3 linked regions of the Mus musculus genome follow. The protein of the gene in region 3 purifies or fractionates together with the protein of the main gene of each other region. This does not show direct contact. Links are inferred from orthologs where the notes say so. Each region holds a gene or a part of one and is shown on either strand. Other genes may lie near its edges. The genes, in order: Psmb6, Psmb9 and Psme1.

What was found.
Region 1: the proteins of Psme1 (region 3) and Psmb6 purify together in Homo sapiens (affinity purification with western blotting; 3 studies listed by BioGRID and IntAct, with this or other methods). This does not show direct contact. The link is inferred for Mus musculus from reciprocal best matches to the Homo sapiens genes PSME1 and PSMB6.
Region 2: the proteins of Psme1 (region 3) and Psmb9 purify together in Homo sapiens (affinity purification with mass spectrometry; 3 studies listed by BioGRID and IntAct, counting the BioPlex papers as one, with this or other methods). This does not show direct contact. The link is inferred for Mus musculus from reciprocal best matches to the Homo sapiens genes PSME1 and PSMB9.

The regions. Positions count from the first base shown.
Region 1 is NC_000077.6:70,524,295-70,528,038, reverse strand, and holds Psmb6 (proteasome subunit beta type-6), read right to left. Parts: upstream 2,683-3,744; 5' UTR 2,643-2,682; coding exon 2,544-2,642; intron 2,155-2,543; coding exon 2,087-2,154; intron 1,746-2,086; coding exon 1,614-1,745; intron 1,496-1,613; coding exon 1,366-1,495; intron 861-1,365; coding exon 716-860; intron 623-715; coding exon of another isoform or gene 603-622; coding exon 460-602; 3' UTR 181-459; downstream 1-180. UniProt on the Homo sapiens protein: Component of the 20S core proteasome complex involved in the proteolytic degradation of most intracellular proteins. This complex plays numerous essential roles within the cell by associating with different regulatory particles.
Region 2 is NC_000083.6:34,185,057-34,188,800, forward strand, and holds the start of Psmb9 (proteasome subunit beta type-9), read right to left. Parts: upstream 2,275-3,744; 5' UTR 2,254-2,274; coding exon 2,194-2,253; exon of another isoform or gene 2,002-2,193; intron 742-2,001; coding exon 674-741; intron 1-673. Other genes in the region: Tap1 (antigen peptide transporter 1), read left to right, coding at 2,824-3,349. UniProt on the Homo sapiens protein: The proteasome is a multicatalytic proteinase complex which is characterized by its ability to cleave peptides with Arg, Phe, Tyr, Leu, and Glu adjacent to the leaving group at neutral or slightly basic pH.
Region 3 is NC_000080.6:55,577,563-55,581,294, reverse strand, and holds the start of Psme1 (proteasome activator complex subunit 1), read right to left. Parts: upstream 2,802-3,732; 5' UTR 2,721-2,801; coding exon 2,682-2,720; intron 1,701-2,681; coding exon 1,668-1,700; intron 1,525-1,667; coding exon 1,462-1,524; intron 1,365-1,461; coding exon 1,254-1,364; intron 1,182-1,253; coding exon 1,136-1,181; intron 966-1,135; coding exon 868-965; intron 701-867; coding exon 632-700; intron 552-631; coding exon 484-551; intron 378-483; coding exon 323-377; intron 244-322; coding exon 157-243; intron 1-156. UniProt on the Homo sapiens protein: Implicated in immunoproteasome assembly and required for efficient antigen processing. The PA28 activator complex enhances the generation of class I binding peptides by altering the cleavage pattern of the proteasome.

The sequences.
Region 1 (3,744 bases), on a different chromosome or scaffold from region 3:
AAAAAAAAAAAAAAACAAGAACAAGGGGCTGGAGAGATGGCTCAGTGGTTAAGAGCACTGGCTGCTCTTTCAAAGGCCTGGTTTCAATTCCCAGCACCCACAGGGCAACTCACAACTGTCTGTAACTCAAATTTCAATAATCTGGCACCCTCACACATACATGCAGGCAGAACAACAATGCACATAAAACAAACCATTTTATTTAAAAACATAATGCAACCAGCCATCCCCAAAATAATCCAATAATGCTAGTAATGATAAAAGAACAGCGCACTGATAAACCTTCCTTACCTCTCTAATTCCTACCGAGCTCAGTGCAATAGTTTACGCAAGACAATGGTTTTGGCAAGTTGAAGTTGAAGTCAAGAACCTTCACACAGAAACGTCTCTTTAACAAACTGTTTATTAGCTTCTGCGTCGGTATGGACCATCCTTTACTACTCCCTAGAACACCAGGCCTCAGGGAGGTGGCAACGTGGCAATGGTGAACTTGGGGATTTGGTCTCCCAAAAGCACCTGCCGCTCTACCCCTGACTCCTGAATGGCTGCCAAGCGGATCACCCCTCCACTGGAGCCGTCGCGTTCCATGGCCAAAGCGAGAGCTGTAGATAAAACGAGGACAGTGGGTTTGGAGTTAGTAGCTGAACGTGAGGACCCTTGGCACAGCTTGGGAACGAGGGCTGAAGTTCACAGGCGTGGAAGCACAGAGTCTCACCATTGGCAGTGAACTGCAGACATTCGTCCTTGGTCATGCCTTCCCGATACGTAGCATCAACATAGCCATAGATGTACGAGCTCCCGGAGCCTCCGATGGCAAAGGACTGTCTTACCATCATACCCCCCATGGGAACAGAGTACACCTGCCAGATGGGAGGGGGGAGAAAAGCCACCAGTTGCACCCTTTCCCAACACATTCACCCATCCCTTTTGATTTTGGTCTCGGGAAAGTTAATGGTGAGGTAGAGACAGAAAGAGAAACTTAAAAAAAAAAAGGTGTTTGGAGTGGGGACTAGGGATGGCTTGGGTGGTAAAGGGCCTGCTAAGGCAAGTATGAAGACCTGATTTCAAATCCCCAGCACTTATGTAAAAGCTGGGCATGTGTATCTGTAACCCCAGCTCTGGGAGTAGGGTGCAGGGTGTATAATTGCTAGAGCTCATTGGATAGGCAGCCTAGCTAAAAGTGAGCTCTATCTTCAGTGAGACTGTCTCATGAGGAAGACAACCCTGGCACACCTCTGGCCTCCACACACATGTACCCATAAGGATACATGCATACAGGACGGACAGACAGACAGACAAACAAAATGGCCGAAGGGGTGGAGCATCAGAGGTGTGACTCCAGTACTCTGGTGAGGAGGGCCTGACCTGCCCTCCTTCTTGAGGGTCCCAGCCTGCAATGATGATTCCTGCCATCAGATCTTCTCTGTACCGGTAACACATCTCCTTAAAGAGACTGGCGGCTGTGTGGACTAGTGGAGGCTCGTTCAGTTCAATACTAGAAGGTGGGGTTGGAAGATCACAAACAAAGCAATATCAGGATCTGGAGTCAGGCCTTTTAGTGCCTTATGTTCCAGAGCCTTCAGGGTCGTTGTTCCTCCCCTGCCCACAAGTACCTGTGGAAACCAAGCTGGTAAGTGACAGCGTCTGCCACTGCTTGGGTATCAGCGGCTGAGCCTGAGCGGCAGCAGAAGATGTGATCGTGGATAGGGGTCAGCTTGTCAGTCACTCGATTGGCGATGTAGGACCTGCAGGATGGCGGAAACAGTGAGAAGGAGCCCACTTGCCTCCCTCCTCCACCACATCACCGTCTACTCCCTGCAGCTCCAGGGATACAAATACTGCTACCACCTACTAGTCCTCATGGAAAATGAAGCCGGATGAATGGAGAACAGACCTTTACTGGTAGTTCACCAAAGGGTGAGGGGGCCTGGAAACCACAGAATTAGGAACAAGTCCTTATTATCTCCAGGTAGTGGAGAAACTTCTCTTGCCACAGTGGTCTGAGGAGGGTAAGGATGGGCTGACAGGCAGGAATGGTATATGTTTGGAGTAGGGGAAACGGGAAGACTTTCTGTTTTGAGCTCACCCAGTGGTTGTCCTGGAGTCCGCTCCTAGAACCACGCCCCCATTAAACTGCACAGCCATGATCGTGGTCTGGGAAGAATAGTGTAAAAAAGGTAACTCTTTTAGCCTTACCGCATTCTCGAGTATATACCGACCTCAATAATTCTTCACCCGGATTTTATAATGCAAAATTCGTGCTCCGCGAACCTATTATCAAATCTTAAGGGGGCTCAACACGTCAGAGAATATAAAAACTACAATCTCCAAACCCCAGGATTCAGACTCTTATGCTTCAGCCTACTGTTCACCTCTCATCACGAAAGGTATCACCCCACGCCAGCATTCAAGGAATCCCTCTCCCTCTCGCAGAACACAGCGCTCCCCCCCCCCCAACCCACTCAGTCAAACCCACTCGGGCTTCATGTTTTTCCTCCCGTCAGGCCTAGTACATGTCTTCCGAACTCTGGCTCTTTCCTCACCCCTGTGGAGACTTCCCGGTTTTCCCAGTCTGGGGTGAGAGCCTCCGGCCCAAAGGCCGGTGCAGACCCCGCTCGACGAACAGCTAAGGCGGCCGCCATCTTCCTCTGCTACTCTGCCACAAAGCAACCGTCGTAAAGCGCTCCGTCACTCTCTTTAGTCCGCCTCTGTGGCCTTCTGGGAGCGAAGCTGCTTGACGGCAGAAGGGAAAAGACAGAGGTAGGAACTCGTCGTTAGAGTCAGTGGGCACTTTACGGCAGTGTGTCAAATTACCAAAAAAAAAAAAAAAAAGAGGCGGGTCTAGGAAGGGGGGAAAAGGGCGGAGCCTCTTCTCAAAGATTTGCCTCACCAGAGGCTTGTGGCTCCCGGAGGCAAAGGATACTTGGAAATGAAGCCTAATTTACATTATAAGGTTTTAGGTGTGTGTGTGTGTGTGTGGGGGGGGTCGTTTGTTTGTTTTGGTAACTTGATTGTATAGTCTGAAGTATGTGGGTTTTGTAAATAACAACGTTGTGTCGCAATGTTAACAGGTTGGATACACTATAACCTGATTGGTGTCCTAGTTCAAAGAACCCACAAGATAAGAGTACAAACTGGAATGGTCAGGTCGTGTTTTCAATAGTCCGGGGTACCTACTTCCCGGGTCCCACAAGAACTTTTGAAGAAGCTACAATTGTTTTTTGGGAGCATCTATACCCCTTGACAATCACCCCTGCCATATCTGAGGGTTTCCACCGTTACACATTCTCACCTATGTATTATATTTTTAATACATTTTAAATCGTGCCATTCGAGCTGAGACGAAAAGATGGACCATCTAGAAACTGCCATATCCGGGGATCCATCCCATAATCCGCTTCCAAACGCTGACACCATTGCATACACTAGCAAGATTTTGCTAAAAGGACCCAGATATGGCTGTCTCTTGTGAAACTATGCCGGGGCCTGGCAAACACAGAAGTGGATGCTCACAGTCAGCTATTGGATGGATCACAGGGCCCCCAATGGAGGAGCTAGGGAAGGTACTCAAGGAGCTGAAGGGATCTGCAATCCTATAGGTAGAACAACAATATGAACTAACCAATACCCCCCCTGGAGCTCGTGTCTCTAGCTGCATATGAATCAGAAGATAGCCTAGTCGGCCATCAGTGGAAAGAGAGGCCCATTGGTCGTGCAAACTTTATATGCCTCAGTACAGGGGAA
Region 2 (3,744 bases), on a different chromosome or scaffold from region 3:
CAAAAGAACACCTAGGCAAGAAAAGTGTGCTTCTATGGCAGGCAGTGGTGGCTCACGCTTTTAATCCCAGCACTTGGGAGGCAGAGGCAGGCGGATTTCTGAGTTCGAGGCCAGCCTGGTCTACAAAGTGAGTTCCAGGACAGCCAGGGCTACACAGAGAAACCCTGTCTCTAAAAACAAAAAGTGAAACAAGAGAAAAAAATTGCCTCTTTCCAGAATTTCCTTGCAGTTCATCACTTTGAGGGGCAACGGTGGTTCTATGGAACATGGCAGAAACAGCATGGATGTCATCCCAGTCTGACTTGTGTGTGAGCAAACTAGCCAGGACGGGAGACCAATCAAACTTACTTCAAACTCAGGCAAATGAGTGAGATAACTGCTTCAGAAAACCACCATTTATCTTTTATCCTAACTGCAGATAACACAGTCCATCTACAACCTACCCGTGTCCCTCCGAGATACTATTTCTTTATGTCCATCAAGCTACAAAATATTCATGAATGCCATGGATTCAGAGGCCCAGACGCCTCTCCATCAATGCATTATGATACTTTTTTGGAAAGATCAGCTTCATTTCTTGGAAGGTTATCATACTCCTCAGAAGTGGGCAAGAAAAATGTGCACTTAGGGCCACCAGCTTCCCTCCAACACACGGGCCTTTGACACTACTCACCCCGCTGACACCCGGGAATCAGAGCCCACCACGACACCCCCGTCAAACTCCACTGCCATGATGGTTGTCTGCAGAGAGACAGTACGAAAAGTCAGAGCTAGGAGCGTCTTGAGCCTCCATCTTAAGGAGGAGAAAATGTCCATGCAGGAGGTGACCGACTCAAGGTCACCCTGAAAAGCAAGGATGGTTCCTGGAGGCAGACACAATCTGCATGAGGAGAGCAAGAACTGAGAGGAAGGCCCAGGAAACCGGCCCCGCTGCTTGTGAATTGCGTACCACATGCATCATTACTGTGAATTACTGTGACACAAGACCAGGTCTTTCCTGGTCCTGGATCCCCCACCTGCAACCTTACTTTATCAGAAGGGGAGCCTTAGTGTTACTGAACAAGGGACACAGAGAGGCCGGGGGTTAACATGGCCAGGAGTCGAGACACAGAAGCAGCAAGGATCCTTCAGGTAGGGCACAAATTTCACTTAAGCGAAGTCTCTGCAGCCAGGGGAAAGGACTTCTGGATAGCAGAGTTTTTCCAGGTCAAGGAAAGAATTACGGATAAGTGAAGGAGGGTAGACACATCTACTTCCCCCACACCTTCTAGGTTAAAAGGCACCTTAGGAGACCCTTGGGTGCACTGAGAAAACTGACTTATGGAGACGAATGAGCTTCCCAAGTTGACTCAGGTCTCACTCTGAACCCTTGATTGATTTGATTTCTAAGTCCCACAGCTCCGTGGCAGCGAGGGAGACTTTTTCCAACCTTTCTGTCCACTCCATGTCGTTCTGATCTCCGGGGACCCTGCCCGCGAGTGTGCTTTCTGAGCACAAGTAAAAGGCCAGAAATGTCCACTTTGTTCCTCCACACCATGTTAACACTGTGGTTGGTGGCTTTTAGAGAGCAGAAACCAGCTGCCATCTTCCCAGCTCCTAGGTCTGGGCAAAGTTCTCAGGCAAGCATGGGAATGACGGTGTTGGGACAGGGTGGGGTGGAGTGTGCTGCAGGGCAGCACCTGGAACAAGGAGGACCACCGATCATCCCCATCTCCCCCTCAATCCTGGCGCCAGAGAGCTTGTCCTCACTCAGGGTGGGGGCTGTCTGGGGCTAGGTTAAGCAAAGATCTGTATGATGTGTAGGTAGGTCCTTTTCAGTGAGCCTCCATATTACCTTCTCTCAGGTGCTTCATCCAGGACACCTCAGCACCTCTTTTGCAGGGGTCCCCAAGCCCCTCACTTGATTTAGCCAGTAACCCCAACTGCGCAGTCTAGAGTGAAAGCGAAAGCGCTTTGGAGCAACTTCCCTTAGACGCTTCCAGCTCAAGCCAAAGAACGCACCTTCTCACCAGCTTCGCATGCGGATCCCTCCACAGACCCCTGGACACCACACTTCTGAGCAGGGATACCCTACGTTCACTGTGGAGCGCAAGCGCTGGGCGCTACAAGCTTCCTAAGTCTCTTGGTTTACTTCCAGAGCTTTAGGGGTCCCTGATCACTCCACCCGCTGACTCTCACCCCGAGACCCATTACCCCGGTGTGGACTTCTTCCGTCCGGAACGAGCCGGCGGTAGGTGCTCCTGCCCGCAGCATCTCAGCAGAGCGGGGCTCGGCTTTCCAATCAGCGGCTGCGCGCGGTGCAGGCAACTTGCAGACTGAGGCCCCGCCCCATCATCGCGCAAGGGGCGTGCCGTTCTACCAGCATTTGGCGCCCAGAGCAAACCTGAGCAGGGCAAATCTGCCCAGAGACAGGTGACGACAGAGGGTCCTGCCCTCAATCTGGGGTGGGGCCTGGGATGGGAAAATTCACGCAAGCAAGTTAAGGGGGCTGGGGAAGAAGAGGAGAATGAGATTCATGGAGAAGAACACGACAGGCCAGGGCTGCTAGGCAGAACTCCAACTACAGCTTCAGCGGCAGCTTCCAGAACAGCCTGAGCAAGCCAGTCTCAGAAGGAGGCGTGTCTAGTGATTCGAGGTCGGCTTTCGGTTTCTTCTTCCTCTAAACGCCAGCACTTCTAGTCAGCTCCACCAGCTCGAGCGGGTTCCCGGGACTTTACGCGCACGCCCTCGGACCCGCCCTTCTTCCTTCCCCACGGAGACTCCTGTGCAGCGCGGACGTCGAGAGTCCCAGGCTAGGACCAGACTCTGGACAGCTCACGCTCGATGGCTGCGCACGTCTGGCTGGCGGCCGCCCTGCTCCTTCTGGTGGACTGGCTGCTGCTGCGGCCCATGCTCCCGGGAATCTTCTCCCTGTTGGTTCCCGAGGTGCCGCTGCTCCGGGTCTGGGTGGTGGGCCTGAGTCGCTGGGCCATCCTAGGACTAGGGGTCCGCGGGGTCCTCGGGGTCACCGCAGGAGCCCATGGCTGGCTGGCTGCTTTGCAGCCGCTGGTGGCCGCACTGAGTTTGGCCCTGCCTGGACTTGCCTTGTTCCGAGAGCTGGCCGCCTGGGGAACACTCCGGGAGGGTGACAGCGCTGGATTACTGTACTGGAACAGTCGTCCAGATGCCTTCGCTATCAGTTATGTGGCAGCATTGCCCGCAGCCGCCCTGTGGCACAAGTTGGGGAGCCTCTGGGCGCCCAGCGGCAACAGGGACGCTGGAGACATGCTGTGTCGGATGCTGGGCTTCCTGGGCCCTAAGAAGAGACGTCTCTACCTGGTTCTGGTTCTCTTGATTCTCTCTTGCCTTGGTAAGGGAGACTGGGTGAAAGAGCAGGCCACAGGGGACAGGGCAATGGGCATTCCAGGCAGAAAGGGAGAGTAAAGTAGTCCCGGGAAGCGTCAGAGACACTAAGGAGGCAACTTAGGCGGAAAGAGAAGGACCCAGGCCCGAGAAGGGGTCCAGACAAGGGCGTTGGGGACAGGGTCTTCTGGGAGCAGAACTTCACATCATAGCCCAAATGTGAAGGTTTCTTTCCACACCGCCATCTTCTCCTCTCCTCTTCTCTCTCCTCTCCTCTCCTCTCCTCTCCTCTCCTCTCCTCTCCTCTCCTCTCCTCTCCTCTCCTCTCCTCTCCTCTCCTCTCCCCTCCCCTGCCCTCCCCTCCCCTCCCCTCCCCTCCCCTCCCCTCCCCTCCCCTCCCCT
Region 3 (3,732 bases):
GAGCACAGAGTGGTGGAGGTCAGCCACGGGCCCCCCGGTAGTTCTGTATCCCATTTTTAGCTGTTGTCATCCTCCACCCCAAGACTGCTTGGTCAGAAATTTGATGGTCTGGGGAAGGTGCTTCTGTCCACCCCCGCCCTCCTCCCCCTTCCTCACATAAGCATTTCGGATCTCCATGACCATCAGACGGATCTCCTGGTACTCCGCCTCGTCCAGCTCGTGCACCAGCTGCCGATAGTCACCCTGCAGTTAGAAACTCAACAGTTAGCCCTGACTTGAAATCTGTCTTCCCCGGGAGCAGCCTGACCTGGGCCTCACCTACCACGTGGGGCTGCTTGGCTGCTTTGGCCACGGCGTCACCCCTCTCGGAGAAGTACCTGTGGAAAGTGGAAGTAGTATGTAGAGAGTGGAAAGAGAAGGCGGGCGCCCCGGGCCTGTCCCCAAAGCAGAGTGCGCTGAGGGTGTTGTGATGAGGCCACTCACTTGGAGATCTGCGTGTGGAAGCCTTCCAGCTTGGTGTGAAGGTTGGTCATCAGCTCAAACACCTTTTCCTGAGGAAGAAAGTGGAGAGCTGGGGAAGCTCAGGCTGGTTGCACAGTAGGGCTGTAGATTGAGGGGACAGTGCTCTTACCTGGACAGCCACGCCAAAATTATTCCCATCCTCTATCCGAGGTATCTGTAGCTGCAACCAGGTAGTGACCTTGGAGCAAAGAACGCGTCTTGGCTTTATCACCACATCCTTCCTTCCCCTCCATATACATACCCCGACTCCCAGGTTCCCAGTCTTCCCTCGTCTGCCCACATTGAGCCCTGGCCCGGACCATTGAGGACACTGCCTGGAGCCGAGACGAAGGCGGAAGAGCTCACCAGATTGAGTTGCTCAGTGACATCCTTGATCTCAGGTTTTAGGCGTTGCAGGAGGACCACAATCTTCTCATTGCAGTTCACTGGGCCACAGGGGGGACCTGGAGAGCGCGCAGTGGGTCAGGGAATGACTGGGCCACAGGGGGGACCTAGAGAGCGCGCAGTGGGTCAGGGAATGACTGGGCGTGCGAAGTTTGGAAAGGGGAAAGCAGAACCGCAGCCTGGAAGCTCTGGGTCACCAGTGTCTTCCCAGCACCTCGCTTCCCCGTACCTTTGTCGTCTTCGTCCCCTTTCTTCTTCTCTTCCTTCTCTTCCTTCTGTAGGGAGGAAGACAGGACTGAGGCTGATGCTCTCTATGGCTGGCCCACCTCCCAGGTCTCCCAGCTTGCCTCCTGTTGCTTCTTCCGCTCCTCCTTCTCTTTCTCTTTGACTGGATCGGGTACTGGGATGTCCAATGGAGCCTTCAGATTGCTCAGGTTGGCTTCATTGAGAGCTGGCTCCTAGTGGTACGGCTGGAGATGAGGGTGTTCCTCTCATCTCACCCCACCCCCATCCCTGGGCTCCTCTTGAGTCCTTGCCTGGGGAGCCCCCGAGTACCTTTAAGAACGCATCCAACTCTGAGATTTTCTTGGGAAAATAGCTCCCAAGCAGGTTCTCTGTCTGGGTAAGACAGTGGAGGAGGACAGGGTCAGAAGCAAACACCCTTTCCAAGGCAGTGATGTAAGGGCTCACACTGCCCAGCGAGGGAGGCCAGAGTTGGGGGAGCTGGGTGGGGGTGGGGTCCCTGATGAGTTAGGTCTTACCTTGCTACACAGGTCTTCACGGAACACATCCACCTGTAGGGTATAGATAGGCAACCCTTCAGAAACCTAGCTTTAAGGCTAGTTCTTTTGAGGACAGTTCCCTTTAGGTGTAGGGGCTGACTTGGGGAATAGAGAAGCCACATCTGAAGAAAGTCAGATGGGTCCCTATATAGGGTGGCCTGGGGTGGTATGGTAGTTTTCAGCACACCTGAATCAGGGAAGAGTTCAATGGATCCCCAAGGGAGGCTGAATTTGGGGATAAGAATATTTCTGGGCAAGCTGGGTGTGATGGCACACGCCTTTAATCCCAGCACTCAGGAGGCAGAGGCAGGTGGATTTCTGAGTTCAAGGCCAGCCTGGTCTACAAAGTGAGTTCTAGGACAGCCAGGGCTACACAGAGAAACCCTGTCTCGAAAAACAAAACAATCAAAAAATATATATGTATGTGTGTGTGTGTATGTATATATATATTTATTTATTTCTGGGTCACCAGAGTTGTGCAAGAGGCGATAAGAGAGCCCTGTGGCCAGGCGTGGTACCACAGGCCTTTAATCCTAGCACTCCAGAGGTACAGACAGGTGGAACTCTGAGTTCAAGGCCAGCCTGGTCTACATATCCAGTTTCAGGAAAGCCAGAGCTACATAATAGAGGGACCCTGTCTCAAACCAAACAGAACCCTAAGACAGTGGGCAGAGAGAGTGCAGGTGCGTGCCCTTTCCGAGGGAAAGTCTGAGGTGGCTAGGGCAAGTCCCTCTCAAGGTCTCTGTGTGTAGCCCTGGCCCCAAGCCAGCAGACTTCACACTAGCTTCTAGGCTCCATTTCACCCCACTGGACCACAGCCGCCTCACCTACTCCCAAGGGATCAGGTGCTTCTGGCAGTAGCTAGGGAGCAGAACCCCCCCAACCCCCACTCAGGTGAGGGGGGCTAGGAAGTGGGCTCCCCCAGAGCTCTGGTCTGCTCTGAACCACGCCTCTCTAAAGCCTCTACTCCCCACTCGAACCCGCAACGCTCACCTTGGCTTGGGCTTCGGGATGGACCCTCAGTGTGGCCATGGCCAGAGCCGGGGGGTGGTGGTGAGCGCCGCACGAGGAACCTGGGGTGGGCAGCGGGAAGGGAAAGCGAAAGCACAGCTCGAAACCTGCACGGCCTTCCTGGGTTTGGGGAGTGGAGGGACTGGAGGAGGCGGGGACAGCCTACTGAGAGGCGGGGGCTCCGCCAGCAGCCGGAGTAGCGTTTCCGCCCGGCGCTCGGGTCTCTCCGTTTGGCAGCCAGGCCCGCCTCCCAACCAACGCCAGCACCCCTGCCCCTTCCCATCCTCGCCTGCCATTTCCCGGCACCCCCTGCTTCTGCTAGGGCCAGGGCAATAAATAAGCCTTACATGGGGGTTTAAAATCCTTAATGATCTGGAGTATGATCTGGTCTCTCTTCGTCTTCCCAGCGTGGTCCCCTGCCTAATATACTCCCGCCCACCAGACGATTATGCGGAGATGCTGGCACCATCCTTATACAAGAGTCAATCAGCTCTGCACAAAGCCATTGTGGCACCCTCTATTCCCCAATAAACCACTCCCCCACAGCAGGGACTCAGGCCTCTATGATAAAATCCATAAAGACTTTTCTTTCACAATCCTCTTCAAGTCCATTGCTTTCCACACTCATTCATTACACAAGCAAATACTTGTAGGCAGTGTTTATTCAGCTCCAAGGACTCTGCCCTTGAGAAATCTGCAACACTCTTCCCCTTAATGTCCTCACCCAGTTCTCAGCTTGGATGTCAATTTTTCTGAGAGAATGTTCTGCCATCATTCTTCAAATGTTCCGCCACCATTTTTCAGAAAGTACTTTCCCCGCTCAGTACGGCCACTGGCACCTGTGACTCTGATACCAGCCATTTTTGTTGTTGTCATTTGTTTTGTTTTTGAGTCAGGATAATACAATGGTTTAAACAGGAGCCAGGCAAACTTTCTGCAAGGGCTTAGTGATAGCTATTTAGTTTTGGGAAGTGTTAATATGCGGGTAGTAATATAGTAATTATGTGTATGTATGTATATACAAATATGTGTG